2 linked regions of the Pelodiscus sinensis genome follow. Each later gene encodes a partner of the first gene's protein in a complex. Links are inferred from orthologs where the notes say so. Each region holds a gene or a part of one and is shown on either strand. Other genes may lie near its edges. The genes, in order: CNNM3 and PTP4A3.

Region 1 (14,844 bases):
AAGCGGCCGGGCTGCAGCTGTTGCTACGTGTCTGGAGCTGTCCAGCTCTCGGGGGCCTCCCCTGGCCCCTTTGGCCTCCCTTGTCTGGGGCTGTAGACTCGCTTTAGAAGTAGCCAGGCCAACTCTCAGGGATGAACGTGGCCTGAGCAGATGGGATAGGGGAGTCCGAGGCAGCAGCACAGACGGTGCTTTTGTGCTATGGCCTTGCCCGTGTCCTGCCACCACCTGCTCAGGGTTAGGAGGATCGGGCTTGGGTGCCCACGCCATTGGCGATCCTGTGCGGCTGCTTCGGAGCTCTGCCTTGGCCGCTGGACCCTCCTCACGAGGGAGGGCTGGCGGCTTAGTCACTCCTTAAACAGGCCGCGGCACGCCTTGCTGCTGGGTTCATTCTGCTCAGTGGCCGGTGTGCACAGAGCGGGTGTCGCACACGGACGTGTGACCTGCGAGGCCCCGGCTCGGCTCTGGGGCCCTGGGCCATGATCTGGGACTAGTGCAGGGTTGGTTTTGTTTGTTTGGTCAGAAAGCCCCATCTGCAGATCCAGGCAGCCTCTGAATTTCCATCCGAGTTTTGGAAATTGTTTTCTCATGGAAAAAATTGCTCTCTTGCGCCTCACCTTTCAAGCTGGAATCATTCCAAGCTGGAGAAACGTCTCCCTTCAGAGCCCCGGCCGAGCGCTCCTGGGAAGTGTCTTGTCACCGTGGGGTTCGTGTAGAACCTCCCGTCTGGGGTGCAGGACTCTCCGATGCCAGGCAGCATCTGCAGCTCAATGGAAACGGAGCCAGTGTGGCTTCCTGACCCACCTTTTCCAGGCTAATTACAGACCTTTGGTCCTCAACATCTCATCACCATTCATGGTACCCGGCATGAAAATGGGAAAAGCTGCGAGTCCCCCCCAAGCCTCTTCGCAGGGCACCCCAGGGTGACGGGTAATTTGGGCCATTAGGGTGAGCAGCTCTGGCGAGGGACTGGTGCAGGGAGCTGGTCTTTCGAAGGCAAACAAGCCATTTTTACATAGTCACTCATCCGGGGAGACGCACCCCGCAAAGCCGCTGCGCACTCCAGCTTGGTTTCCACAGGAGCCTGAATTTTCTCAGTCGTGATCACTCTCTTGCTGAGACCCCATCTCCGGGTATGTCTGCACTACAGAATTTTGTTGGAAAAACAGTCGTTTTTCCTACAAAACTTGAGGAACATCCACACTGCAATTACGTTCTTCCGCAGGAAAATCAAAAGAGCAGAGGGGTTAATCCTCCTTCTACGAGGAAAAAGCCTTTTTCCCAAAGAGCCCTTTCGCAAGCAGCGTGCGTGGCCGGGGAAGAGGGAGCTCTTGCGGAAGAAGAGGAAAGAGGAAAAAGCACAGGTGCCCTGCTGGACACTCCGTCCATAGCAGGGAGCCTCCATTCGGTCTTGGACAGAACCTGCAGGCCTGAGCCTGTGGGGAGGCCTCTAATGCAGACTAATAGGGTGGGAGTGGGAGGATCCCAGGGGAATGAATGTGGCCAGGTTAGAGGAGAAGCTGGAGGGGGGCAGGGTGTTTAAGTCCCTGATTGTGCAATTGGATGCAATGGAGGTGGCCCTGGGACCTAGGCAGAGCCCATCCAAGTAGCAGAAATACCTCACGAGCCGCGATCCACCTGTGGGGAGCAGGGTTCAGGATTGGGGCCAACCCGGCTCGCTCCTCAGCATTTTAAAGGAACACTCCAGTGACCGGACTTCTTGCCCCCATTTCCCAGTTCTCCTACTTGCAGAATTGGCTTTGTACGTCTGTTGCATTCCAGCGGCAGTGTCCGTGGAAAGGCAGGGGCTGAGACACACTGTGCACCTCCAGCCCCCCTTCTGGAGACGTGGGGCAGCCCCCAGCAGGGGCCAAGGCACAGACACAGCTTGCACAGTGTGGTGGTGTTCCTGGGAATGTCTCCCCTGCCCATGGACAGGCTCTTGTTGGCTGTTGCTTCGATCTGGTGGCGCGAGGTACTTTATTGCAGACAGACGCCAGCAGCTCCCAAAGGGGGTGACTTGATAGCGGGTTGTGGGGAGCTTGATTCTCTAAGTTACACTGGTAATGAGGAGAGACGCTCGAGGTTTTAAAAGTCCATGTTTTCAAGAAGGAATGTTGATCTCGGCGACGCTTGGTTGAGAAAAGCCAGTGGGTCTTCTGACACCGCTTTCTGCCGTCCCTCGTGGCCGTGCGGGCGCAGCCCCCATGCTCCTGTCACCTGCCTCGTCAGAGGGGTGTGGGCAGCCGCTCTTCGACTGCGGACTTATGGGGCCAGTCCAATGAATGACAAGAGGCAGGTTTCTCTTTCAGTCCATGTGTCCTTGCTGTCCCCTGTGGGAGAGCAGGCAGGGACCTCAGAAGCAGTGATGCTTTGATCGTGTTTTGGGCCAGCTTGGCTCCAATCCAGCAAAGCATCCCCTGTATTCAGAGCTGCCCCTGGCTATGTGCTTCAGCCCCTGTGCAGTTGGGGGGAGTAAAGCACATGGCCCGTGGAAGCCGACCCATTGGTGTTTCCCTGCATCTGGGCTGCACGCACCCCTGGACCTGCTTTGGCTGGGGGGCGTGATCTGCTGACATTAGAGGACTGACTCCAAACCCATGCTGCTGGGAGAGCAGACTGGAGTGGCCCCTCCTGTCCTTGCTGATCAGAGTCTAGGCCTGTTAGGAGGGGCAGTGGGTTCTGTGCAAAGGCCCAGCTGATGCTCTCTGGTCACTTTCATGAGTCCTGTTGAGCTTTTCTCCAGGGTAGTCCATGAAACGCTGCCTAGCCTACCCCTAGCAAGGGCAGTGGGTTTGGCAGCTGCTGCTGGCACTGACGTGCACAACACCCGGACATGTGCCAGTCTTGCTCAGTCCTTTCCCCACTGGCATCGCTGGGTGAAACCCAGATCAAGACGCCAAATGCCCTCAAACGTAGCGGCCGTCCCATAGTCTGTGGGTCTGATTCTGCCCTGCTTTGCATGCAGACAGGTACAAAGTGTTGCATTCGGATGCGGGTGCCTTCTCTACTCTTGTGCACCAGTGGGAGTGTCTCACACATCCTCTGCCGGGACCTTTAGCTCCTCTCCCTGATTCCTCTGGCTTTCCTCCCCTGCCAATCAGCAATAACCCTGCACTGGACTCCCCAGCATCCTGGCTTTGCATAGCTGAGGGGTCCAAGCGCCGCAGATGGGCCGTGCCAGGGAGCAACTGACGAATATTTATTTTGCCCCAGAGGTAATCTGTACATGTTTGTGATTCTTTGGGGGCCGTCGTTTCTCGGACGATACTTTTTCCATTGGTCTGAGTTGTGCCCTTTTGGGAGGGGATTTTGTTTTGTTTCATTTCTGAGTCTGCGTCTCTGTTGCTAAGAAATGATATTTGCTAAACGAAATATGGAATTTATTTTTGATTGAGTAATAAAATCTCTCTCTCTATTCCCCTCCTGCTGTGCTCTGTGCGCCCCCAAGATTCCTTCCCACCCTGTAGGCAGAGGGCAGGAGGCAGAGCCTGCATCTGATTTCACAGGCAGTGGAGAGCCTGTTCCCGTTTAATCGTTTCTGGTCACATGTGGTAGGAAGCGAATGATGTCATGTCACAAGCGCTGGCGTTTTGGGCCAGATCCACAGTAGATGGAAGCTGCTGGGATTCCCTTGAAGTCAGTGACGCTCAGCCCTGTGCTGTTTTCGTGTCTGTATTCAGCTCTAGGGGACAGGCCACCCGCTGAGGCAAATGGGCCATCACCCCGTGGGAGTCGATGGGCCAGATCCCAGCTGGGGTCCATGCACATAGCCCCACCCCCCTCAGCAATGCTGCTTTACCTGGCCCTTGGAGCTTAGTAGAGAGATGAAGTGGGAACTGACCGAATCCAAGTTTCTGATGTTTGTTGAGTTCGGGAAAGAGAAGACACGGGGCAGGACAGCAGCTTTCAAGCACCTAAAAGGGTGTCACAGAGAGGAGGGAGAAAACTTGTTCTCCTTGGCCTCAGGACAGGACAAGCAGCAATGGGCTTAAACTGCAGCCAGGGAAGTTCAGGCTGGACATTAGGAAGAACTTCCTGCCTCTCAGGGTGGTTAAAACTGGAATAAATTGCCTGGGGGGTTGTGGAATCTCCATCGCTGGAGATATTGAAGAGCAAGTTAGGCAGACACCTGTCAGGGATGGTCTAGATGGAGCGTGGTCCTGCCGTGAGGGCAGGGGACTGGATTCACCGACCTCTCGAGGGCCCTTCCAGTTCGAGGATTCTGTGATTCACTGATATTTGCTTCTTCATTTTCCATTCGCCCAAGCTGGTAGGGCCTTGGTTGAGTGACAGGCAGCCGCCTCCAGAGCTAACCTGCTCCCTGCCCTGCTCCTCAGCACCCAACCTGGCTCCAGGCGCTGCTAAGAATGCAAAGGGACAGGGCAGAGTTTGGGTTCTAAACCTACTTTACAACTAAAACAAACCCTCATCTTCCTGCTCTGACTGTGGGGGCTGCAGCATGGGGCTGCTTTCACCAGGGCCTGCTCCGTTGCTGCCTGGGTGACTGGCCAGGGCTGGGGGCTGTGTGTGCAGTGCCCTCGAGGCTTCCTGTGTAAGACCCCAACAGGAAAAGCAGGTTCCGCACGAGGCCCTCGAGCCAGATGGAGTCAGAGAAAAGGCCCGTTTAGCTCTGTATTTTCTTTTCCGACAGTGGCTGGTGCCAGATGCGTCAGAGGGAATGTACAGAACAGGGAAATTGTAAGTGATCCACCCTGTTCTCCATTCCCAGCTTCTGGCAGTCAGAGGTTAGGGACACTCAGAGCTTGGAGTTGCATCCCAGGCAATCTTGGCTAATAGCCATGATTTTCCTTTTTGAACTCCGTTAAAGGTTTGGCCTTCACACTATCCCCTGGCAAGGAGTTCCACAGGTTGCCTGTGCCTTGTTTGAAGTACTTCCTTATTTTGTTCTAAGCCTGCTGCCTATTCATATCGTTGGGTGAATAATAATTCCTTATTCACTTTGTCCACACCAGTCATGATTTTATTGATTTCTATCACGTCCCCCTTAGTCCTCTCTTTGCTGAGCTGAACAGTTCCAGTCTTTTTAATCTTCCCCTGGCATGGAAGCTGTCCCAGACCCCCTAATCTTTGTTTGCCACCCTTCTTTATACTGTTCAAATTCTAATCAATCTTTCTCAGATGAGGCAATGGGAACGGCACACTTTATTCAAGGTTGGACTCACAATGGATGCCTGTGTCCTGGGGCTGCTCATCGATTTTCTACCCTGCCTGGCTTCTGCTTTCTAGGCATGAATGTCAACATTCCCTTTCTCCCACTCCCCTCGAAATAGCTGCCTTGACTCCCCCCAACCCAGGCTGACTTCTTACCCAATTCCGCCTTCTCCCTTGTAAATGGGCTTGAGGCTTTCTTGTGAGCTGGTAACATTCCCATGATCATTCTTGCTTTTCTGAGTAAATCCTTCCTCCCAGCTGATTTGGCTCCTCATCCGTTCCAGCCTTTTAAAGCACCAACTGCGTAGATCACGGGGCTGGGCTTCCTGCTGTCTGCAGGCTAACCATGGCCAAGGGGAAAAGGAGGTGAGATCCTGCCCTTCTGAGCCCCTGGGCCCTTCCAGGTTGCTCAGCTCTGCCTTGGGCAGGGAGAAGTTCCTCCAGTCCCGGACTCAGGCATGGGCAGGTCTCATGGCCGCTGGATACTGGAGGATGGGGGACAGGGCTTGGTTTGCCTGCACAGCCAGGTCTGTACCTCCCCCCACAGGCCCAGCGGAGGCCCCTGGATGGTTCACACCGTCCGGCCAGGAGCACGTTGGCCTTTTTTCGCCGCCTCCGAGGGCTCCAATTCAACCGGCAGCTTTTTCCCTCCTGAGAGGTCTGCGAGAGCTCACTGAGCTCCAGTGTTCTGCCAGGGCCTCCTCCGGCCCTCGACGCTCTTCTCAGGGAGCCCCTGCTACACAACCTGTCTTTGCAGGCACAGGCAGCAGAGTCCCCCTCGGTGTGGCAGAGACTGGTCCTGGCAGGAACCACCAGGGCTCCTGGACGTGACCGAGGGACTGGGTAGATCCCAAGTGCTCAGTTGCTGCATGGGGCTCTCCGCCCTTCAGAGCCCCCACACATGCCTCAGAAGGTGCATGTCCCTCTCTCGTTTTTCTACAGCGGGCCCCATGGGAGGGGACGTCCTGCTCCCCCTCACTGCAAGCTCTCCAGCCTTTTTCTTGGGCCCCTGTTCCGCGAGTCCTCTCCCCCCCCCCACACACACCTGGCTTCCTCCCCTTTGCAATCCCAGCCGGCTGTGAGACCTGCACCCACGGACCAAGTGTGCACACGCTCCATTTCCTGACCCTCACGTCCTGGCCCAGCCCCAAGTGGCGGGATTGCTACCCCCTGTGGAGGGTGAGGACCCCCAATGGGCCAGTCTCTAGTCCTCCCTGATTCCACGGTTGGCCAGGGATGTCAGTGGGCAGCTTCTTCACAGAGCCACGAGCACGGGCGTGGACCGGGCACGGTTCAGCCCCATCCCTGAGGCCGGTCCCCTTAGAGGCGTGAGGTAGAAGCTGGCGCCCGCCTACCTCTGGTGCATCAGGTTGCAGCCCCTAATCTGTCTCCTCCTGCTGAGGCTCTGGCTGCATCTTTCCCTGCCCCTCATTACTTCTGCGCCCTCTACGTGTGGCCCCACAAAGCCACAGGGCCTCCTTGCCAAGGCCACCAGCAGCAGCAGCAGGAGGAGGATGCTGCGCAAGGAGGTGCTCAGGGACGGTGGGTCCTGTTTCCACTCCTCCCTAATTTCATGTATCCGGGCGGAGTTCCCCAGGGCAGTGTCCACTGGCTGCCCAGATGACTTCGAGGATCAGTGGGCGTGGCTGGGGTTCCCCCTTCTGGATCCCTCGCTTTGAACCTCTACCCAGCTGCCCTGAACCTGCTTGTCATTAATTGGTCCCTATATTTATTTGGAACATGGGTCCAATGGCCCTGCCCACAGTGCTGGGGGCGGGGCCTATAGAAGAGGGCAGGTGCCCAGGATTTTCCAATAAGGCCCCTGGATACAGGCAGGTGCCACCTGTCCAGGTTTTTTCAGGCTTGTCCCTTTTTGAAGGGGCTAGTTAGATGCACGGTGCAGCCCTTGGGGGGAGGCTCTGTACCCTCTGACCTGCTGTCCCATGGCTTTGGGGGGAGCCTTGCTGTGCGCTGCCCTGTACGTGGGGGCTCAGTACCCACTGCCCCACAGGTGTGGGGGGACTCTGTACCTACTGCCAGGGGGAGGCCCGGGGGGGCTGCCCCATTTGTGGGGGGCTTGGTAGCAGGGATGTTAACATATCTGTGTTTAAACAATAAGCCTGGGGTTACTGGTTAATCCTAACAACTCCACACCCCACCCCTGCTGCCTCCCTGTCAGTGGCAGCAGCACGGGGCCAGGCCGGAGCTGATGCTCACCGGGAGCCAACTTAAAACCTAACGAGTGTGACACACACACCCCCCCCCCCGGTGTAAATGTAACTGCTGGAAATTCTACAGAAAACCACAATCCTTAGCATCCTTGTGGCACCTGCTGCCCATGGGGGTGGGAGGGGCTCGCTGGGCGCTGCCCATGGGTGTGGGGGGCCCTCTAAGTGCTGCCCATGGGTGTGGGGGGGGGCTCGCTGGGCGCTGTCCAGGGGTGTTGGGGGGGGCTCTAAGTGCTGCCCATGGGGGTGGGGGGGGGCTCGCTGGGCGCTGCCCATGGGTGTGGGGGGCCCTCTAAGTGCTGCCCATGGGTGTGGGGGGGGGCTCGCTGGGCGCTGTCCAGGGGTGTGGGGGGGGCTCTAAGTGCTGCCCATGGGTGTGTGTGTGGGGGGCTTGCTGGGCGCTGTTCATGGGGGGGGTTCGCTGGGCGCTGCCCAGAGGTGTGGGGGGGGCTCTAAGTGCTGCCCATGGGTGTGTGGGGGGGGGCTCGCTGGGCGCTGTCCAGGGGTGTGGGGGGGGGCTCTAAGTGCTGCCCATGGGGGTGTGTGGGGGGGGCTTGCTGGGCGCTGTTCATGGGGGGGTTCGCTGGGCGCTGTCCAGGGGTGTGGGGGGGCTCGCTGGGCGCTGTCCAGGGGTGTGGGGGGGCTCGCTGGGCGCTGTCCAGGGGTGTGGGGGGGGCTCTATGTGCTGTCCATGGGGGTGGGGGGGCTCGGTGCTGGCTGCGTTCACTGGCCCTTTAAATCCAGCCCGCTCGCCCCGCCCCCTGCTTGTTTATGTCCCGGCGCAGCCCAACCTGCGCTTCCCTCGCCTGGGCCCGCCCCCTCCGCCCATTGGCCGGAGCCCACCGGCCCCGCTCCCCGATTGGCCGGCCCCGCGCGGCAGGCGAGGCTGTGCGCGCGCGGGGGGGGGGGCGTCAGCTGACTGGCATGGCGCGCGGCTGGGGGCTGCGCTGGGCCGTGGCCGCGCTGTGCCTGGGCTGCGCCGCGGGGCGCGACGGGCCCCCCCCCTCCTCCGCCCCCCCCGCGCCGCCCCCTCCCCACGTGCTGGGCTTCCGGCTGGAGGAGGGGGCCTGGGCGGCGGGGGGGCTGGTCCGCGCGCGCCCCGGGGCCCGCTTCCGCCTGCGGCTCTACGGCACCGGGCTGCGCAACCGCAGCGGGCCCTGGCTGGCCTTCGCGCGCGCCGGCGAGCCCTGCCCGGCGCGCGCCCTGCACGTGCAGCCCGACGAGCGCGCGCCCGGCGCGCCCGCGGCGCTGCTGGTGCGCGTGGCCGTGTCGCCCGCCGGCCCGCCCGGCACCTACCAGCTGTGCAGCCGCGCGGGGCCGGGCCGCCCGTGGGCCCCCGCCGCGCCCGGCGACGCGGTGCTGGTGGGCGACGAGGGGCCGGCGCCCTGGCTGCTGGCCCTGCTGCTGGCCCTGCTGCTGGCGCTGGCCGGGGGGCTGCGGGCCCTGCAGCTCAGCACCCTGTGGCTGGAGCCCGCCGAGCTGGCCGTGCTGCGGGAGTGCGGCTCGCAGGCGGAGCGCCGGGCCGGGGCCGCGCTGCAGCGGGTGCGCCACCGGGGCGCCCTGGCCCTCTGCGCCCTGCTGCTGCTGAGCACCCTGGCCAACGCCGCGCTGGCCGTGCTCATCGGCTGGGCCCTGCGGGCCCTGGCGCCCGCCATCCTGGCCGCGGCCGCCTTGGTCTTCCTGCTGGCCGAGGTGCTGCCCTTTGCCCTCAGCGCACGGTGGGGGCTCTGGCTGGCGTCCCGCGGGCTCTGGCTGACCCAGCTCTGCATGGTGCTCACCTTCCCCATCTCGCTGCCGCTCAGCAAGCTGCTGGAGCTGGCCCTGCGGCACGACGCCAGCACCTGCCTGCTGCGGGAGAAGGTGCTGGACATGGTGCGCAGCAGCGACCCGTACAGCGAGTTCGTGCGCGAGGAGTTCAGCAAGGGCGCCCTGCGCAACAAAACGGTGGAGGACGTGCTGACGCCGCTGGACAAGTGCTTCATGCTGAGCGCCGGCGCCGTGCTGGACTTCCACAGCATGTCCGTCGTCATGCAGAGCGGCTACACCCGCATCCCCGTCTACGAGGGGGAGCGCACCAACCTGGTGGACATGCTCTACGTCAAGGACCTGGCGCTGGTGGACCCTGACGACCGCGTGCCCCTCAGCACCATCATCAAGTTCTACAACCATCCCCTGCACTTTGTCTTCAATGACACCAAGCTGGACGCCGTCCTGGAGGAGTTCAAGCGAGGTAACCGCCCCAGTGCCCCGGGGCCTCTCTGCTCCAGCTCCATGCAAGGGGGTGCTGTCCTGCGGGGGCACCAGGGGGCTCTCTCCTTGCTGGGCTGGGAACTGTTAACCGGTTACCCAGGAAGCATCACCCTTACCAGGAGATACCCAGGAGCGGCCCATGCAGTGCTCAGGTGGCTGGGTACACAGGAGTTAACTCCTTCCACACTGCTGGGCAGCCAACTTCCCATGTTCCCTGGGGGACGCCCAGGGCTGGCCTCTCTCCATGCACCAGCCGGGTGGGTCAGAGCCGGGACCGACTGCTGCCCCCTTCTTTGACTGGGGTCTGCCCCTGCCAGCGATGGCCGGGCAGGTTTGGCCCTGGCTGGCTCCTTGCTGCCGCTCGTGGCAGACGTGCCCTCCCCAAAGCAGGGCAGAGGCTGGGATTCAGTCGGATTTCCCTACCCAGCTATTGTGCCATCTAGTGCCATGCCCGGAGCCCCGCCCTCAGCGCAGTGAGCCCTGTCTCCCACCTGGCCTGGCCAGGCCAGAGCAGCGGGAGGTGAGGGAGTGCTGCTCTGGAAAGGGAGGAATCTGGTGCCTGGACCTGTGGTTAGCGTCTGTGGGATGCCTGCAGCTCCCGTGCTCTGGCTTTGGCCCTTGGGAACATCTTCCCGGTTCGGTGTCTCTTGGCTTCGGGGGGCACAGCTGGGCAGTGGAGTGAGCACGCTCAGCCCTTGGCGGAAGGACTGTGAAAGCGTTAACACAGAGAGCTTTGCTCCCAAGTGGTTCTTGGGCTTCTGAGTTGGCAGAAGCTAACCAAACCACACAGCCCAATTGCCAGCCCTGCTCCGCGGTCCCCCCATCGCCTGCAGGGGCTGGTGGACACCAATCCGCAGCAAGCCCATTCGCGCTGCCCTCCCCTGATTTCAGTCCAGTGCCTCCCTCCCTCCCCATGGGTCCTGGGGAAGGTCACCTTCAAAGCCAGGCTCTTCCCTCCAGAGGCAGGGAGAGCGCTTGGAGGGCCTGCCCCTGCTGCCATGGAAACGTTTGGCAGGGCCAGCTCATGGCCACAGGGATCTGGCGCCTGCCCTGAGCTCCGTGTTCCTCAGGGCCCCTGGAACCGGCTGCTTCCTTCCTGGGCCTGGAGCGGAGCCCAAAGCCCCTGCCGCTCCGTGTGACCGTGGGCCAAGCCAGCCCTGGGCCGAGGGCGAACCAGAGGGTGGGCAGGGCGGGGCCTGCAGGAGGGTAGGTGGCCCCAGTTCAAGCCAGGCTCTGCCGCTGCCCTGCAGTGACCTTTGGTTGGCAAGGCTGGGGGGCCGGCGGTTGGGACTCCTGGGTTCCCTGGGTGGCTCTGGGGGGCCGGCGGTTGGGACTCCCGGGTTCCGTGGGTGGCTCTGGGGGGCTGGCGGTTGGGACTCCTGGGTTCCGTGGGTGGCTCTGGGGGGGCTGGGGGGCTGGCGGTTGGGACTCCTGGGTTCCGTGGGTGGCTCTGGGGGGGCTGGGGGGCTGGCGGTTGGGACTCCCGAGTTCCGTGGGTGGCTCTGGGGGAGATGGGGGGCCGGCGGTTGGGACTCCTGGGTTCCGTGGGTGGCTCTGGGGGGGCTGGGGGGCTGGCGGTTGGGACTCCCGAGTTCCGTGGGTGGCTCTGGGGGAGATGGGGGGCCGGCGGTTGGGACTCCTGGGTTCCCTGGGTGGCTCTGGGGGGCCGGCGGTTGGGACTCCCGGGTTCCGTGGGTGGCTCTGGGGGGCTGGCGGTTGGGACTCCTGGGTTCCGTGGGTGGCTCTGGGGGGGCTGGGGGGCTGGCGGTTGGGACTCCTGGGTTCCGTGGGTGGCTCTGGGGGGGCTGGGGGGCCGGCGGTTGGGACTCCTGGGTTCCATGGGTGGCTCTGGGGGGGCTGGGGGGCCGGCGGTTGGGACTCCTGGGTTCCGTGGGTGGCTCTGGGGGGGCTGGGGGGCTGGCGGTTGGGACTCCCGAGTTCCGTGGGTGGCTCTGGGGGAGATGGGGGGCCGGCGGTTGGGACTCCTGGGTTCCGTGGGTGGCTCTGGGGGGGCTGGGGGGCCGGCGGTTGGGACTCCTGGGTTCCGTGGGTGGCTCTGGGGGGGCTGGGGGGCCGGCGGTTGGGACTCCTGGGTTCCGTGGGTGGCTCTGGGGGGCTGGCGGTTGGGACTCCCGGGTTCCGTGGGTGGCTCTGGGGGGGCTGGGGGGCCGGCGGTTGGGACTCCTGGGTTCCGTGGGTGGCTCTGGGGGGGCTGGGGGGCCGGCGGTTGGGACTCCCGGGTTCCGTGGGTGGCTCTGGGGGGCTGGCGGTTGGGACTGTTCTATTCCCAGCTCTGCTATTGGTTGACAGCGTCCCGCCCGCGAGTGCAGGTGACAGTCGGGAGCCATGGCGCTAAGTGCTCTGAGCTCCCCTGAGGTGCCGGGGCTGCTCTGTTCTGCCATCAGCAAACCAGCTCTCCCAGGCCAGAGGGGTGGGATTGGCGGCGAGAGAGCGACCTTGTCAGCCTCTCTGCGCTCTGGCCAGAGCCCGACTCGGCAGTCGGAAGCGGCTGAGATGCCCGTGGGGGGTGGAGTCCATGTAACTTGCATCCAAGAGTCTGAAAAGAGCTGGCCCTGGGCCCCGTGGACTCTGATTTGATTTTCATTAACTCGGGGCACTGGGGAGGTTCCCGCAGGCTTGAGGAAAGCTGACGTTGTGCCAGTATTTCACTTGGGTGAGCTGGCTTACCAAGGCAGTCCCGGCACTGCCAGTGTGACGCTGACCCTGTGCAAGCAACCGAGTGGTCGATGCAGACTCGAGGAATAACAGATGAAAGGAAGCTGATCTAATTATTGCCAATTAACATGGGCTTTTGGAAAATCCATCCTGTGGAACTAGCCAGTCGCTTCTTGGGTGAGGTTACGAGTCTGGCTGAAAACGTAGCAGGGTGGACGTAGCGGACGTGCGCTTCTGCTGGGAGGTTGATCTAGCACTGCCCAGCGTTTGGTTACAGACTGGGAGGAGGCGCGATGAGTGTGGCCCATGTTAAATGGACTGAAAGCTGCTAGGTCTTGGGGGGTGAGGTCCTCTCCTACTGGACTCACTTCTGTGGCTGAGAGGGGAACTTGGGAGCTCGGGGCACGTCTTCCCTGCGGGCTGGGCCAATGGGCAGCCATCAGTCCAGCCACTTGCTCCCTGGCCTCCGTACAGCACCTCAGCAGGAAGTGCTGGGGGCGGCGAGAGCGGGCGCAGTGCAGTGCAGACGCTGTAGTAAGTAGCACTAGGGACGTTGACTTTGGCTACACTGAGGGTTGAGTGACACCCCATCGCCGGCCCCAGCGCAGACCTGCCCTCAGGAGTTCCAGGGGCAGGTGGGGTCCCAGCTGGGGGCAGGTTTCCTTTGCAGATGAGGGCTGAGGGTGGTGGCTATGTGAGCAATGTTTGCCCCCCCGCCCCCCCCCCCCCCCCCCCCCGAACAGCTTTGGGGCCTGTTTGGATCAGGACTCCCACCGATCGGACACTGGAATTTGAGATGTGAACATCTGAAATCATGACACTGACCAATTCTAAGACACCGCAGCCGTGAAATCGGCCAAAGTGACCCGTGAATTTGGCAGGGCCCTACCCTGTGGGTTTCAGTGGGGGTGGGAGCGTGTGGCCTGTGGGGGTCTCAAGCTGTAAGCAGGAAACCCTCATTGGGCGGGGGTGTTTCTAGCAGGGGCCTGTAGGGATCACGTTAAGGCTTCTGTCTGTGACCTGGTCAGGGCTGCAGGGGATCCAGACGCTGGGAGAGGGGAACAGCGAGAGGGCCGATACAGAGCAACCTGTTCACTGGCTAGTGGGTGCAAGCAAACAGGATGCGTTTGGCACGTGTCTGGGCGCCTCTAGGGACAGCGGCTGCGGGCCGTGTTTGTGGGGTGGGGTCCTCTGGCCTGGTGGGGGCTGTGCCCCCCACCTCACCTGCACAGTGCACCCAAAGTCGCCCCGCATGGAGCGAGCCATTCGGTAGCCCAGCATGGTACGAAGCCAGACAGGATGGTCCTGAGGGCCAGATCTGGGCTGCAGATGGCCAGTTGGACCCCCACATCCCTTCTGTGGGAGTCTGAGTCCCCTAGCCGGGGAAGGGGGCAGGGCGGATGCCAGCCACTTGAGGGCTCCAGGAACCCACCTGTGGCTCCAGAACCAGTGTCTGTGATGGCTGTCCACTCCCCGCAGTGTAAAGTGGCCCCGTGCGCTGCTGCTGAGCCCCAGCCAGGAGAGAGAAGGCCCCCACAGCGGCCTGGAGGTAAATCGCCCCCGTCGCTGCTGCAATGCCCTGCTGGAAAGGGGGGGGACACGGCAGCATGGGGGGCTGTTGCCTAGCCCCTTGCTGCCTGCGGCTCCCTAGCTGGATAGGAACGGGGTGCGTCTGGGCTGAGCCAGAGTTCTCCGGTGGTCGGCGCATGAGGCGGGGCGCCGGACTCCTGGGTTCTCTTCCTGACTTGCGGGTCCGGTGACCCCCAGGCAAGTCGCACCTGGCCATCGTGCAGAAGGTGAACAACGAGGGGGAGGGCGACCCCTTCTACGAGGCCATCGGCCTGGTGACGCTGGAGGACGTCATCGAGGAGATCATCAAGTCGGAGATCCTGGACGAGTCGGACGACTACAGTGAGTGAGCCCCATGCGGGGCCGGGGCCTGCCGAGCCCTTGGGACCCGTGGCTTGGTGGGCAGCGCTGCATGCCTGGCGTTCGCTGCAGAGACAGCCGGGCCCTCCTGCTCCTACGTCTCCCCCAGCCCCTCCCGTACAGGCCAGGCTGGCCCATTGCTCCCCAGCATGTCGGGGGCTGGTGCACCAGGCCGCCTGGGGCTGTTCCCAGCGGGGGGTGGGGGGTGTCAGGCTGCCTGCTGAAGGGGGAGGCCCTAGTAGTGGGAGAACAGGGAGTGTGGCTCCTGCATGACTTGAAGCATGTCCTCCCCTGCTCCGTGCCTCAGTTTCCCTAGGGGGGTGGGGGGATGCCAAGCTCTCTTTCCTGTGCTTTGACCTGCCAGCTTGTGGCTGCTCGGGAGGGCTCTGGCCCCCCAGGGTTATGCTGCCTTCTCTTGTGCCTCAGAGGAGAACAGGGTGCGGAAGAAGCCAGCCCCCGTGGGCACCCTGCTGGAGCACAGGAAGGAAGATTTCTCCTTGTTCAAGGAGGCTGACAACGAGCACAAGGTGAAGATCTCCCCACAGCTGCTGCTGGCCACGCAGCGCTTCCTATCCCGAGGTGAGTGTGG
Region 2 (15,609 bases), on another chromosome or scaffold:
CTGGGTCCGTGTCTCCCTAGTTGTTAGTGATCTGAAGTGAAAGAGGAGGGGGACTCAGGCCCACCCTCACTCCGGGTCCCGACCCAGGACCCTAAAGGCAGCAGTGCACTGAGGCTGTCTGGTTGGTGGGGATTCCCCCGTAACTCACCAACCCTCTGGGCTTGATTGAGGTGCTGATGCTGCCTCCTGCCCCCGTCCTGGGTCACTTCCTCCTCCTTGCCGGTCTCATTCCGCCCTCGGCGGGTAGAGTCACCTTCCATGCCGCTGGTTCTGCTCCAACCATGCCAGGCTGATCCCCCTCTGCCGGAGCAGAGTCTCCCCCCTTCTGCCCTTTCCAGGCGTCTTTTGAAGGGCCCAACTAGCGTGGCCCCGCCCCTCACAACCGGGCGCCGGCTAATGACGTCTTCGGCGGGGGGTCCCTCGTTGATGACGTCTAGACCCCTGGCGACCCCCGTGAAGGCGGGGCATGTGAGCTGGGGCGCCGCACGCGTGCGGCCATGTCCCCGGCTCCCAGCGCCTTCTGCCGCTGCGGCTGATCCTGCGGCGTCCCCGCCGGCACCTCCCTTGCCCCTCGCGTGCCTGGGAGTGCGGGGTGCCGTGAGCTCCTGGGAGGCAGGAACCTGCACCCCATCACACCAACTTAAAACTGCCTTGCCGAAATTTAAGCCCATTGCTTCTTGTCCTATCCTCCGAGGCCAAGGAAAACAATTTCCCCTCCTCCTCCCTGTGACACCTTTTTAGATACCTGAAAACAGCTATCCTGTCCCCTCTTGGGGTATGTCTACACTACAGAGTTTTGTCAGAAAAGCAGCCCATTTTCCAGCAAATCTTGAGGAATGTCACACTGCAATTGCATTCTTCTGCAAGAAAATCGAAAGAACAAAAGGGTTTTTCCAGCATTGGTAATCCTCATTCTACGAGGAAGAAGCCTTTTTGCAAAAGAGGTCTTTCATAAACAGGCGTGTGTGGACGGGGAAGAGGGAGTTCTTTTGGAAGAAGAGGAAAGAGGAAAAAGCACAGGTGCCTTGGTGGCCATTATGTCCATAGCAATGACAGCTTACATGCGAGAGAGCATCCATTCAGTCTGCACACTCTCTTTCAAAAAAGCAAATAGCTTTTTTGATGCACTTTTGCAGTGTGGACGCTGTCTTTCAGAAGAAGTTTTTTCAGACGATCTCTTCCAAAAAAAGCTTTTTCTGAAAGAAGCCTGCACTGTAGACATAGCCTTAGTCTTTTTTTTTTCTAAACGAAACAAATCCAATTCTTAAAAAAAAAATTTAAAAACAACAAATAGCCCTACAGCACCTTAGAGACTCACAAAACATGTAGATCATATCATGAGCTTTTATGGGCACAACCCACATCTTCAAATGAATGGAGCATGGGGGTCCGGAATTACAAATAAATGACAGAAAAAGAGGGGAACAGGAGAGGGAAAGAGAAGGAAAAAAATCTTGTCAATTAGAGTGTCCATGCTAAATGAGGCTAATAGAGTGGGCTGTAAGTGCTGTACGTTAAGTATTGGGTACCTAACTTTTGATGTCATTAAGGTGTTGAATGTAGCAGCCTATCCAGTTCATGTCTTTGTTCAAACCTTGATTAAAGGTGTCAGATTTTGTCACCATTAATCAAGGTTTGAATAAAGACATGAACTGGTTAGGCCAACTCATTCAACAGGCAAAATTTGGCACGTGAGAGCACAGGGGAGGCAGGCTGGGGCAACTCGCCACTTCTGTGTCCTGGCCAACCGGAGCACAGGGGTGTGGGGAGGCTGGGGCAACGTGTCACCCCAGCCTCACACTTACTTGGAGGACCATGGAGGAGCGGGTTAGCACCCTTTGCGCGCGCGCGCACACACACACACACACACACACCCCGCGTACAGGCCTGGTTTGATTTTTTACCATGGAAATAATATGCATGTCAAATCTGGTTTCACCTGAGGACTTGTTTGAGCTATTCCTTACCCCAGCTTTTGGGGTCATGCTGGGCTTCATATTCCTTACATTTGACTTGTGTTCTCTTTCTTCAGGAAGCCATGCCCACCATCTGTTCTAGTTTGTGGCTTCTACCCCGCTACCAGGCAGCTAGGTCTGCTTCTTCGGACTTGCTACTGTTTTTCTGGGCTGCTTCCTATTGCTACGCCCCCTTGTATTGCTTCCCACTGCCTGTGCTTAACACAGCCTCCATTCACTACTGAACTCATATGTCTTCCATACCTCTTAGGCTCCACTTAAGTGGTTTTACTGGCCCCACTCTATCTCAGGGTCACCCCTACAGGAACCTGACCTGCTCTCAATGGGAAAATCCTGTCTCCTCAGCAAGAAGTCTCTTTCCTCAGTTGTTTCTAGATTCTTATAAGGCCCAAGGGCCTAAAATGAGCTATACATAACTTCACTCCTTCTGGCCAAATGGCAATCAATCAATCAATCAATCAGTCAAATCACGCATGCATTAACTGGCTTTTAACCCCTTCTCTAATAATAACCCCTCACAGTCCCCCAAAGGTTCTACACATTTAGAATAACAATCATTTCCTTTTTCAATTAATCTGTCTTCACGTGCGTGGTTCTCCTTTGAACACACACATTCTGCAAAGCCAACTGGTGTGAAGCCAGTTACATAACCAGTATTGTCACATGTTATCATAGAAGAACAAGAAAGAACATATGCAACATAAGAACTGGCTGGATCAGGCCAATGGTCTACCTCAGGACTACTCAACTCTGGAAGTCCTGGGGGCCACAGTGATACTCACAGCACTTGACGAGGGCCGCAACTTAAGTGTGGTGGCTTATACATGCAACTATATATGCAAATAGATTCTTTCACACTGACGGGCATGAATACAAAGCACTTCCCACAATGCCCCGGCGGGCCGGCACCTCCTCGCTGAAGGTTAGAAATGCCGACACCTTGTACCTGTCTGTTCCAGTCAGTCCGTCCACTTGCATCTTTCAGCGCTCAGACTGCCTGGGCGATGCCTCGCCATTGTGGAGCGTGTTCCCAGTGGAGGCCATATTCAAAAGATCCCACCTATGTCAAGCCCTGCATAAACTCAAACTGCACCACGGGCTGCAAGCAAACAGGCGTGGGCCGCATGTGGCCCATGGACCACATGTTGAGTAGCCCTGGTCTACCTAATCCTATATCCTGTCTTCCCATAATGGCCAATGCCAGGTGCTTCAGTGGGAATGAACAGAAAATAATTAAGTGATCCATCCCCTGGTGCTTGTTCCCAGCTTCCGGCTAAAAAGAAGCTAGGGAAATTTCAGAGCCTGATTTTGCATCCCTGCTAATCCTAGCGAATAGCTATTGAAGGACTTATCGTCCATGAACTCATCTAGTTCTTTTTGAACCCTGTTATAGTCTTGGCCTTCACAACATTCTCTGGCAGAGTTTTGTTTGTTTTAAACCAGCTGCCTATTAATTTCATTTGGTGACCCCTAGTTCTTGTGTTATGAGAAGGAATAAATAACAATTCCTTATTTATTTTGGCCACACCACTCATGATTTTATAGACCTCTATCATATCCCCCCTTAGTCTCCTCTTTTCTTAGTCATCTCTAATCTTGCAACACTGTGATACAAAACCTGCCTCTGATCATCCCAGGCATTGTATGTGTGTACACTCTGTTTCGATTGTAAGCTCCATAGACCACGAACTGGATCCTCCTTTGCATATTGTACGGTGATAGGCATCCTAGAGTTTATACCTGGTCTAGCCATAGACATTGCTACTTGCTAAGCACCAATAGTGTGCTTAATGCTGCACAAAACAGATCAAAAGGCATTATCTCTGCTCCAAAAAGTTCAATATTTAAACAGAGAAACAATGAAAATGATCAGGGAGCACATTGATAGATATTATAGAACAGGAGAAACCTTGAAGGCAGCTTTATCTCAAAATGATAAAGATGTATAATGTAACCTTGAGCAGATTTCTGTGATTCTCAGGATACAAAACAAAAAACAAAAAAAAACTAAAAAAACAACAAATAGTCTAGTGGCACTTTAAAGACTAATAAAACATGCAGTTGAGAACAAGAGCTTTCATGGGCACAGCCCACTTAGTCAGCATATGAAGATGGAGTCACTGGTAGACACATACCTGTGTGCTAGCTTTAATCTAGCTGGTGTGTGCAATAACAGTAACGAAAATACAGACGCATGGGCTTTGGCAGAGGCTAGCTACCACTGTACAATCTTGCCAAGGATGTAGGTATGTGCTTGGGTTGGTAGCCCACACTGAAGTGCATGCTGTCATGTTTTCATTGCTATCTAACCTGCTCTTCAATCACACCTTTGATTTGCTGTGTGGATGTACTCTGTCCTTCATTTGTAGAACCCAATTTGGTGTGAATTTACATATCTTCTTCCAATCCCTTTTTCGGAAGAAGTTTTTTCGGAAAAAAAAGCACCCCCCCCTTTTTTTTGAAAGAACCCGTATTTCTCAAAAATGAGGTTTACAGGGTTCTTTCGAAAAGGGGGGGGGGATTGCATGAAAAACCCCATCTAGACTGCTTTTAAAAAAAAACTCTTCCAAAAAAGAGATCGGAAGAAGATATGCAAATTCACCCCGAATTTGCATATCTTTTGGAAGCCGAGGGTAGTCTAGAAGGTGTGTAAAGCATGTCTCTGGAACTGAGAACTACTTTAATCTGGTTGCATTAGATATTAGAAAAAAATCTTTCTAACTATAAGGTTAGTTAAGTACTAGAAGAGACATTCAAAGGCGGTTGTGGAATCCTTGTCTTTGGAGGTTTTTAAGAACAAACATCTGTCAAGGATGATCTAGCTACACTTAGTACTTAGTGAGTATGCAGGAAGAGAGGGCAAGGGTTAGGCTAGATGACCTCTTGAAGTCCTTTATATCTTTACTTTTGTATGACTTTATTAGTAGATTTACTACAGATTTTCTATATAACTTCAGGTAAGGCACTTAATCCGTCTTGGTGCCTCACTTCATCTCTGTAAAAAAGAGACCATAATACTTCTTTAATGTCTGGGAGGCACTCAGATGCTATAGTGACAAGTGCCATAAAAAACTATCCATCACAAATAAATTAAGAAAGGCAGCTAGTGCTGAAGACTGGTGCTTTGGTCTCATTTCTTCCATTTTATGGTATTTAAATAGCACCCTAGATATACATGGAGATTTATAATAAAAAAGTAACCTATTGACTGCCTAAGACAAGACCCCTGTCCTGAACAGCTAAACATTTGCAGCTTTTAAATCACCCACATCTCCAGGGTAGTGACCACTGATGTAATCTCATTATATCTAGAGAGCATCTGGCTTTTCTACTGTGAGTTGCATCATATTAAATTTGTTGTTTATATTGTTTAGGAAATTCTCCAGTCTTCTTTTAAGTTCAGCTAACTTTATAGCCGTTCGACAAGCTGGCTGACCACTGTGTGAAAAATATTTCCATATGCTTGTCTCAAATTAATCTGTTGTTAATTTCAAGTAACTCATTGTTGTAGAATTATGGAGATATGGTGTAAGCAGGAAAGGATTTTTCTGTTTTTTTGCAAAATGTTGTGTAAAACCTCCGCCCAACCCGGTATAATGTGAATGTAAGACATATAACTTTTAGTATTATAAATCATGTCATTATCAGCCATTGTGAGTGGGGTGGCTCTGTTGTAAGATATGTAACTCTCAGGCTATGTCTAGACTACAAGATTCTTTCGAAAGAGGCTTTTTCAAAAGAATCTTTCGAAAAAGCCTCTTTTGAAAGAAAGTGTCTAGACTGCAACGACTTCTTTCGAAAAAGCGAGCTGCTTTTCGAAAGAGAGCACCCAGGCGGTCTTGATACTCTCTTTCAAAAAAGCCCTGTTTGCAGTCAAGAACACCTTTTTTTGAAAGAGCACTTTCAAAAAAAATACAGGACTATGTAGCACTTTCAAGACTAACAAGATGGTTTATTAGATGATGAGCTTTCGTGGGCCAGACCCACTTCCTCAGATCAAATAGTGGAAGAAAATAGTCACAACCATATATACCAAAGGATACAGTTAAAAAAAATGAACAGTTAAAAAAAAGGCATTCTTCCTTTTTCTTCCTTGTAAAATGAGATTTACCACGGTCAAAAAAACTGCTACGTTCTTTCAATTTAATTTTGAAAGAACACAGGGGCAGTCTAGATGCAGGAGAAGGTTTTTTTGAAAAAAGGCCACTTTTTTGGAAAAAACCCTGTAGTCTACCCACACCCTCAGTTGTTCTAAGTTGTCAGTTTCAGACACGGTGGCTGTGTCTACACTGGGCCACTTATTCCAGAAAATCAACCGCTTTTCCGGAATAAGCTGAGAGCTGTCTACACTGGCCCTTGAATTTCCGGAAAAGCAACGACGCTCTACTGTACAAAATCAGCCGCTATTCTGGAAAAACTATTCTGCTCCCGCTCAGGCATAAGTCCTTATTCCGGAACACTGTTCCGGAAAAGGGCCAGTGTAGATAGCCCAGTAGTCTTTTCCGGAAAAAAGCCCTGATCGCGAAAATGGCGATCGGGGCTCTTTTCTGGAAAAGCGCATCTACATTGGCCACAGACGCTTTTCCGGAAAAAGGGCTTTTCCAGAAAAGCAGCCTGCCAATGTAGACGCTCCTTTTCCGGAAAAACTGAAAACGGAATAGTATTCCGTTTTAAGCAGTTCCAGAAATTCATACCAGTGTAGAGACAGCCAGAGAGTTGCAACTCTCTTATTGTAAGCCATGTAACTTTCATGTAATGTTTCAAGTTCTGCAACTTCTTGCAAGCTTTGTAACTTCACTTGTACAATCTTTAAGGTCTGTAACACTATCCTGTGACAAGGAAGTGTGTGGGTGTGTGTAAGTGGTGTGAATAGTGTAATGTTTGTGCCTTTGTGGAGAAGAGCCATGAGGCTACAGGGAGGAGCCAGAGGCTAGGTGGGTTTGAGGTAATCTTTGCTTGCACATGAGATAGGCAAAAAATGGAGGTGCAGCAAAGATGAGAAGAAGGAAGTAATATCCATGAGGAAAATGAGGTCTGGGCGGGCTTCTCGGTGATGGACACAGACTCTGATAACTCAGACTGTGTCTAGACTGGCCAGTTTTTCCGGAAAATCAGCCGCTTTTCCGGAAAAACTTGCCAGCTGTCTACACTGGCCGCTTGAATTTCCGCAAAAGCACTGACTTCCTACTGTAAGAAATCAGTGCCTTTTGCGGAAATACTATGCTGCTCCCATTTGGGCAAAAGTCCTTTTGCGCAAAAGTTTTGCGCAAAAGGGCCAGCGTAGATAGCTCAGATTTGTTTTGCGCAAAAAAGCCCCAATCACGAAAATGGCGATCGGGGCTTTTTTTGCGGAAAAGCTCGTCTAGGTTGGCACGGACGCTTTTCCGCAAAAAGTGCTTTTGCGGAAAAGTCTCTGTGCCAATCTAGACGCTCTGTTCGGAAAATGCTTTTAACTGAAAACTATTTCCGTATTTCTTACATGAGATCGTCAGTTTTGTTGCAGAAATTCAAGCGGCCAGTGTAGACAGCTGGCAAGTTTTTCTGGAAAAGCGGCTGATTTTCTGGAAAAACTGGCCAGTCTAGACACAGCCTATTAGTGTAACCCTGGGTTGTTCTCCAGTGAAATCAGGTAACACTACCCTTTCTCATCAATGAACACATCAGTCAAGTGACTCTTCTTCATATTTTAATTCTTTTCCTTCCTATACATAGCTTTTGGAATCTCACACAATGTGTAAGTACCTCCAGTCATCTTTGTTGTATATCTCTGAACATTTCATCTCAGTTTAAAGTGAGTTGACCACTGTACTCCAGAAGAAAGATCATTTATGTCAGGCCATTACATACAAACCCTTACCTACCTACTGTTGTCAACATGCTGCCAGCATGCCCACTTGGCGTCTGCTAGCAGGGCTAGAACTCAAATCTTTCAAAAGTCAGTGGGCTTTGAATGATGCCTTTTCTACTTGTGCTAAGCGTGAGTCACCTTCAGGTGCTTTTTGTATAGAACCTGTGACACACAGTTGGACAGTCCAGATTCCCTCCAGCAGAGGGTAGTGCTGAACTTATACATTAGTTAATTCAATAGTTAATTCCAAGCTCTGGGTGTATTTGTAGGGATAGTCCCGTTTTGAGAAATGCGCGCGTGACATTACGCTGTACAATCATTTTCCAACGTGTGATGCAGTTTAACCCCATCTGGGATTTCTCACAGATTCCCTAACTTCTTCCTCCAAGGCACTGAATTTGCAGGTTAGTGTATGAGTTAACCATTGTGTTACTAGCCTGATAACAGCTTACAGAAATGCTCCTTGAACTTGGGGGGGGGGGGGGGAGCACCATAGGTAACACTTGGGATAAAAACTGAATGTTGGCAACAGCAAAACTAGCCTGTAGAAACTGGGCCTATCTTGCAGTTACACAAGGCCTCCTCACCTCCATGCCTTCTTTGCAACCTCAGCACCTTCTGTCCCCCTTCCCCCTTCCCCCTTCATCTTCTCTTCTCTTCTCTTCTCTTCTCTTCTCTTCTCTTCTCTTCTCCCTTTCTGCTCCTGCCTTTTGCTCCCTTCTCACTCCTACTCCTTGTCCCTGCCCCCTCTCCCTTTTATTCTTCTTCCCCCTTGCCCCTCCCCCTCTTACTCTCCTTTTGCCCCTCCCCCTCCTGCTCTCACTCTCCCCCTCCCCCTCCCACGTGACGCCATCTGCCCCCCTCCCCTGCGCCCACCCGCCTCCGAACCAGCGGGGAGGGGGTGGAGCGCGCCGCAGAGGGACTGGGGCCCAGGCGCGTGGGAGCGCGAGCGCGCGCCGGAGCTCCGTCAGCGGTCCAGGGAGCGAGCGCGTGCGGCGCGGGGCGGGAGTGCGCGAGCCGCTGCTGCTGCTGCTGCGGCAGCGCCCTGGCAGGGTCGGCGCGGCGCAAGCAGGTGAGGGGGGGGCCACAATGGGGCGGGGGACCCCCGGGTGCGGGACTTGGGGGGCGCGTCGTGTGCACGCTGGGAACGAGCCCCCCTCCCCGGGCGTGGGCGCCCCTCTGCTCCCCGCAGCGCGCCCTGCCCCGCTCTCCAGTTGGGCACGCCGTGCACAGGGCGCCGTGCAACGGGGCGAGTCGCCGGCAAGGGGGGCGCGCTGCAGCCCCCGTCCTGCCGCTGGCCCAGTGGCTCCCTGGGAGGGAGGTGTCCTGGTGTGCGCCCGGGCGAGGAGCATCCTGCGCGAGGTAGCGTCCCGCCGAACGTGTTTGCGCTTGGAGGAAGTCGGTGGGGCTGCAGCCGCCCCAAGCAGGATGCCTCGCTGCCCTTTCAGCAAACAAAGCGTAGGAATAAACGGTCCGTTTTCCGCCTGGCGAGCGGTAAATAGCAGAGCACCTCCAGGAGCTGGACCGGCCCCGGGCTCTTCAGCTTGTTCACCGATAACCTGGAAAACGGGGCAGGCCGGGTGGTGGCAGCGTTTGCAGAGGATACAGAATGACTTGGTGAAGTCCAAAGCTGCCTGCAAAGAGATCTCGCAAAAGTGAGTGATCAGGCGGCAAAATGGCTGATGGAACTTATCAGCAATACGTGTAAAATCATGCACATTGGGATATAATTTCAGCTCTGCATCCAAAATGATGGAGTCAGGATGTTGGAGTCACCATAGATAGTTTGCTGGATACATCCACTCAGTGTGTAGTGGCAGGCCAAAAGAAACAAACAAGGCTAACAATGTTAGGAACCATTAGGAAAGGGGTAGGTAATGAGACAGTAAAGATAGAATACTGCATGCCGTTCTGGTCTCCTCATTTTTAAAAAAGAATTGGAAAAAATACAGAAAAGGGCAAACAATTACTAGGGGTTTGGAACAACTTTCATATGAGGAGTGACAGAAACGATGGGGACCATGTATCTTAGAACAGAGATGATTAAGGTGGGGGGGATTATAGACTCATGACTAGTGTGAAGAAAGTGGCTAAGGAAGTGTAATGTATCCTTTCACATAACACAAGAATCAGGGTCACCTGATGAAATAATTAAGCATCAGGTGTAACACAAACAGGGAAATACTTCTTCGCACAATGCAAAGTCAACTGGTAGAAATTGTTGCCAGGAGATATTGTAAAGGTCAACAGCATAACTGACTTGATTTTCTGTCCCCTCCCCCTTTGATGACAATTAGCCAAAGCAGTCAGGGATGTAATTTTCTGCTCTGGATTGTCCCTAAGCCTTTGACTGCTAGAACCTGGGACTGGACAACAATTATTATCACACAATAATTGCCCTGTTTGTTCCCTCTGAAGCATCTGACATTAGCATCGTCAGGAGACTGTGTATTAGGCTAGATGATCTGACCCAGTATGTCCATTTTTGTGTTCTTAATGTATATGGGATGGGATATGGGGCTGTATACCAGTGGTCCCCAACGCGGTGCCCGCGGACGCCATAGTGCCCGCTGGGCCATTTGTGTGCCTGCGGAGCAATCTGGGCTGGCCCCTCCCCCAGGCGTGCAGCAGGTGCCAGGCCCGGGCGCATGGCCGGCCCCAGGCGCGCGGCACCTGGGCGGCACCTGGGAAGCCCCTGCCCGGGGTCATGGCACATGCCAGTGCCGGCCCCGGGCATGCTGCACATGCTTGGCCCCACCCCCAGTCACGTGGCCTGTGAGCGGCCCCACCCCTGTACACGTAGCGCGTGAGCGGCCCCGCCCCCAGGCGCTCGGCAGCCCCAAAATGTTGGGGACCACTGCTGTATACAGTACCTGATTTGCAGTGGCACATGAGTAGGTGCTGCATGGTAAAAGTAGCAATGGCTACACATAACTGTCAAGGTTCTAGTTTGCTTGAGTATATTTTGTTGGCTTTTTCCTTGACATTAGTTTAATTTTTAAACAAACAAAGACTAGGCTGGTAAAAGTCCCCAGCATCTCTCAGTTGTCATCCAATTGCCATCATGAGAATGTGTGTTTAAATGTTAGAGACACGTTTCTTTGGCCAGGTCTGCACTACAAACGTATACTAGGGATGGTATAAGAAATAGAAATTTCTTATGGAAAGGTCATAGAAAGGTCAACTAACTGCATGAATTCTTAGTGGTTAGTTGATTTGTCTATAGTCCCCGAGGGTGGGGCTGGAAGCCAGTGCACTCCTGCCCCATTTTCAGGGAGCCCTCTGCCACCCTGCGCTGCTGCTGCCTCTGTATCAAACTGTATCAGAGGCAGCAGCCCAGGATGACAGGCGGGAGTTGGTCTGTGAGGGAAGCCAGTTTAAAACCCAGCTCCCCTTGCAGACTGGCTCCCACCTGGCACCCCGTGCTGCTGCCTCTGATACAGAGGCAGCAGTGCGGGATGGCAGCAGTCCCTGTCTCCCTGTGGACAGAGGCTACTGGGAAGGAGCGGGGGAGGCTGCTGCAAGCAGCATCTGTCTGCAGCTGGCCCAGGCTTGCCATAGAGTTAGACAGAGGCTGCTCTGTGGGATGCGGAACACCTGTAGGCCAGGTGGCACTGCAGAGCCATTGCTGGGAGAAACCATTTTTTTAGACAGCTTCCCCCAGCACTGATTTCTGCTTTCACTCTTCCTCTTCTACCCCCCCCCCCCCCCCCCCGCTGCCTCTGGTGCAGAGGCAGCAAGGGGGAGGTGAAATTGAGTAGTCAAGAAGATTAACCGATAAGCCTAGGCTTATTGGCTACTTGAGTACTCGTTCACATCCCTATACTATAAGCCAGTTTCTGGTGCATGCTGGCTCTGGCTACCGGCTCTGGCTACCAGCCCTGCTCCTGGGGAGCCCGGAGCGTGTTTAACGTCTCAGATTTTTAAATTATGTGGTTACTTTTTAAAAAGGTTTTGTACATCCCTAACATCTACATTGTTATCTACATTGTCTGGGTTATGAATAATCCATCTCCCTGAGCAATAGTTATACGAACCTAACCTCCCCCCTTCCCCCTTTGTAGTTAGCACTGTGTTATTGCTACTGCCTCCTGCAGAGGTGGATTAACTACACGAGGGGTAGGGAACCTTTTTTCTGTCAGGGGCCACAGGCAAAATTAGTTGGGGGCCACATATTGCTGGGGGGAGTTGGAGGTTTGGGGCCAGAAATCAGGGCTTCCGTGTGCAGGATGGAGCTTTGAGCTAGGGCAGGCGCTTGAGGTGAAGGCTCCAGCTTTGAGGTGGGGATTTAGGATGAGGAGTTTGGGGTGTAGGAGGAGACTCAGGGCTGGGGTAGGGGTGACGACAGGGCTAGGACAGGTTGGGGTGCAGGAGGAGGTTCAGAGTATGGGCTCTGGGAGGGAGTGTGGGTGGGTGTGCAGGGTCTAGGAGGGAGTTCGGGTGCAGGAGGTGGTTCTGACCAGGGTCAGAGCGTTAGTGTGCAGGAAAGACGTCAAGGCTCTGGTTGAGTAGCACGTACCTCTGGTAGCTCCCAGTTGGCAGCTCAGCGGGGCTAACCTGTCTGCCCCGCACTCTGCAATGCTCCTGGAAGCTGCTGCCATGTCCAGTCCCTGGGTGGAGGGGCTAGAAGGCTCTGTGTGCACCCATAGGCACCACCCTGCAGCTCCCGTTGGCTGTGGTTTCCAGTCAGCGGGAGCTGGGGAGTCGCTCTGAGATCAAGGGCAGCATTCCGAACTTCCCTGATTTCCCTCCTCTGCTTAGGGGCTGCAGGGACATGTTAGCAAGCCAGTGCTTATGGCTCCAGCCCTGCAGGAAGGGGTGGGTGTGTGCTGAGGCTTGGGGCTTCCTGTCCGCGGTGCAGAGGCTTGTGTGAGCTGGAAGAAATGAAGCAGTGAGCTGGATGTGGCCCATGGACTGCAGGCTCCCCACCTCTGACCTGCACTAACAGGAGAAGCTTTCTTGTTGGTGTAGTAGTGTTTTCACTACAGTGCCATGGCTGCATCGCTCTACATGTAGACAAGCCCTCAGTTTCCCTCCCAAGCCGTGCATTTTACTTAAATTATTACAGACTGTTTACATTTGAATGCCTTGAGTTTATTGCCAAGGAAAATGGTAAAGGAATATGGTGTAGTGGACAAGTTTGGGGTTGAAATCAGGAGTCCTGAGTTCCGATTTCGCTTCTGCCACTGAACAGCTATGACATTTGTCAAGTCACTTATGTAGGAATGCTTTGCCCATCTGCCTTTGTTTCTTTTCTGGTTCTTTGGGGCTGTGTCTATGTCTTGGAGCACATGCGCGCACATGTGTACAGTGTACAATTCTTCCTTCGTGTGACCATCATTTTGGGTCCTAGGTAGATTCAAATTGTTAGCATTGTCGGTCAGACCCTTGTGAGACATTAGGTCTAGATGTTGGTGTCTTATTTCAAAATGCGTGTGGTGTGTATATCTTGTCCAACCAGAATTACTAATCCCTGCAATTAGCTCAGATCTTGGGGTTTATATTACTGTCAGCTTCTAAATCAATTTTAACTTCCCACTCAGAGGAATAGTAATAGAAATGTAGCCGTGTTAGTCTGGTGTAACTGAAACAAAAAACAGGACTATGTAGCACTATAAAGACTAACAAGATGATTTATTAGGTGATGAGCTTTTGTGGGCCAGACCCACTTCAGAAGAACTGAGATTTAAGGGGAATGAATGGGGTATTTTTGTGCGTCTGTCTTTGGTAAACTTGTTCAGCGAGAATACAAGCTGTAGACTTGGTCCACACTACAGACTTCTGTCAGCCCCGCTGTGACAGTCAGGGGTGAGAAAAGACACAATTCATGTTCAATACAGCTGTGCTAGCAGAAGCCCCTAGTGTGGTGACCAGTATAACTGTGTCTAAGCTAAGAGTTCTTTGTCGGTAGAGTATACAGCTATTCCCCGAGTGGTAAAGGGCTCCTACTTTAAACGTAGGCTTATAGGGATGCAGTTATTGATGGCCGGGGCAGTTACACACCACACATCAGTGGAAGCTGATACCTCATGTGTGTAACTGACTCCCCTAATAATATCCCTTACTTTGCAGCCAACTAGGTTTAAAATCTTCAGTACGGCACCTTGATTTGTGTCACGCGTGTTGTATTCTGCAACAGCTGGAATTAAATTCAGAACTGTGAGATTTTACTGAGTTGGGACTCTATGCTGTATTTCACAAATGCTTAATACAGATGTATTTGCACTTTAGCAACTTTTGGCAGCACCTGGCAGTGCATCATTAACCAGCGGAGAAGAATGTGGTAATTCATGCTCTTTTGAGCTACTGTTTCAAGCTGTGTGCTTGCAGTTCAGAAAGACCAGCTGCATCAAGCTAAATTTGGTTGGTTTGGAAGGTTTGTTTCTCAACCATAAGGATTAGACATTTAATTAAAAAAAATTTAAATGTTAAATTCTGGCGTACAACTGAGAGCCAACAGCTGCTTAATCACTTGTTCTCCATCATAGTAATCTTTCCATATCTTTACTCTGTGTCTGCAAAGCTAAAACTTCATTTGTTTTCACTTGCTTATTATTTTGTAAAATTCTCAGTTGGGAGTGTTTGTTTTTTTCCAAGTTAGATGGAAAGTTCCTTTAGCTATTTTACTGGCAAGAGTGTGTGGGTGAACATAGCATCTCAAGACCCCATGCTCATCAATTACCCAAACAGGTGATTAAAGAAACCTACAGAATAGCACTTGCTGAGGAATTGGTCCTTGGAGAGGGAAAGTTAAACAATCATCTATCTCTATGACTGAAAAATCACTAGTGAGCATGGGCATTTGTTATCTTTGACAATTCCCAATGAAGCTCTACTTTCTTTGTGCCCCATGACACAGGATTTTTGCGGCAGGAGGGTGAGGCTGGCACAGCTAAGGTAATTTGCAGGAGGGAGAGTGTAAATGTTTCATTAGAACTCACACAGCACAGACATCCCAACAATGCAAGTGCTGATCCTCATAGCAAGCGGCATTGTTTTAAAAAACGGTTTATTTAAGCTGGTGCAACCTGAATGTGGACATTCTTGAATTTAAACCTGGTTTATATTGACTTAGTTTAAAGAGGTCCCTTACCAATGCAGAACAGAACTGGTTGTATGTGTGGGGTTAAAAAATACATACTTTTTGTTAAACTGGTACAGCTTTATGTGTAGACAGGAACTGAAGTCTGCCTAGTTCTGTTGCTGCTGCCCTTCTCCATTGCTTTCCCAGGTGTTCTGCTGTTGTCCTGATAACCTAGACTTGCAAAACTTTTTTAAAAAAAGTCTCCAGCTAAACCAGATCAACAGCAAAGCTGTGAACTCACCCTACTACCACCCTGCTCATTTACGTGAGGTGTGTGACAAAGCCTTGTTGTGACTATTTAAATGCTAGGATATGTGAACAGATTCTCTTTCTCATGCGGCTTGTTTTCGCTCTTATTATTTGTAGTACCATAGAGAAGGGGGGGCAAACATTTTGGCCTGAGGGCCACATCTCGTTATGGAAATTGTTTGGAGGGCCGATTTTGTGAGCATTCCTGGGGGTTGAGGTGCAGGTTGGGGTGCGGGTACCAGTTGGGGTGTGCAGGCCCTTGGGTGGGGCTGAGTGTCACTTAGTGGGGGGGGGTATAGTGTGTGTGGGTGTACATTAGGTCCCCCCCAGGTCTCTCTGCATGGCGGGGGGGCGGCCAGACATGACTCATTGTGGAAGTATGTTAGTGTCTCACTTCCTGGGGACCAGGTGACAAAAGATTCACCTTAGAATTGTAGAATACTAGGACTGGA

What was found.
Region 2: the proteins of CNNM3 (region 1) and PTP4A3 are in contact, whole or in part, in a crystal structure (PDB 5TSR), measured with the Homo sapiens proteins. The link is inferred for Pelodiscus sinensis from reciprocal best matches to the Homo sapiens genes CNNM3 and PTP4A3. Residues at the interface, in NP_060093.3 of Homo sapiens: Ser357, Asn358, Phe394, Asp396, Lys418, Val419, Asn421, Glu424, Gly425, Asp426, Pro427, Phe428, Tyr429; in NP_001425170.1 of Homo sapiens: Asn5, Pro7, Asp72, Gly73, Ala74, Val105, Ala106, Leu108, Gly109, Arg110, Arg137, Arg138, Gly139, Ala140, Ile141, Asn142, Lys144, Gln145.

What each region holds. Positions count from the first base shown.
Region 1 is NC_134738.1:5,721,791-5,736,634, reverse strand, and holds the start of CNNM3 (metal transporter CNNM3), read left to right. Parts: upstream 1-8,309; 5' UTR 8,310-8,324; coding exon 8,325-9,630; intron 9,631-14,093; coding exon 14,094-14,237; intron 14,238-14,681; coding exon 14,682-14,834; intron 14,835-14,844. UniProt on the Homo sapiens protein: Probable metal transporter.
Region 2 is NC_134712.1:6,589,888-6,605,496, forward strand, and holds the start of PTP4A3 (protein tyrosine phosphatase type IVA 3), read left to right. Parts: upstream 1-8,740; 5' UTR 8,741-8,896; intron 8,897-15,609. UniProt on the Homo sapiens protein: Protein tyrosine phosphatase which stimulates progression from G1 into S phase during mitosis. Enhances cell proliferation, cell motility and invasive activity, and promotes cancer metastasis.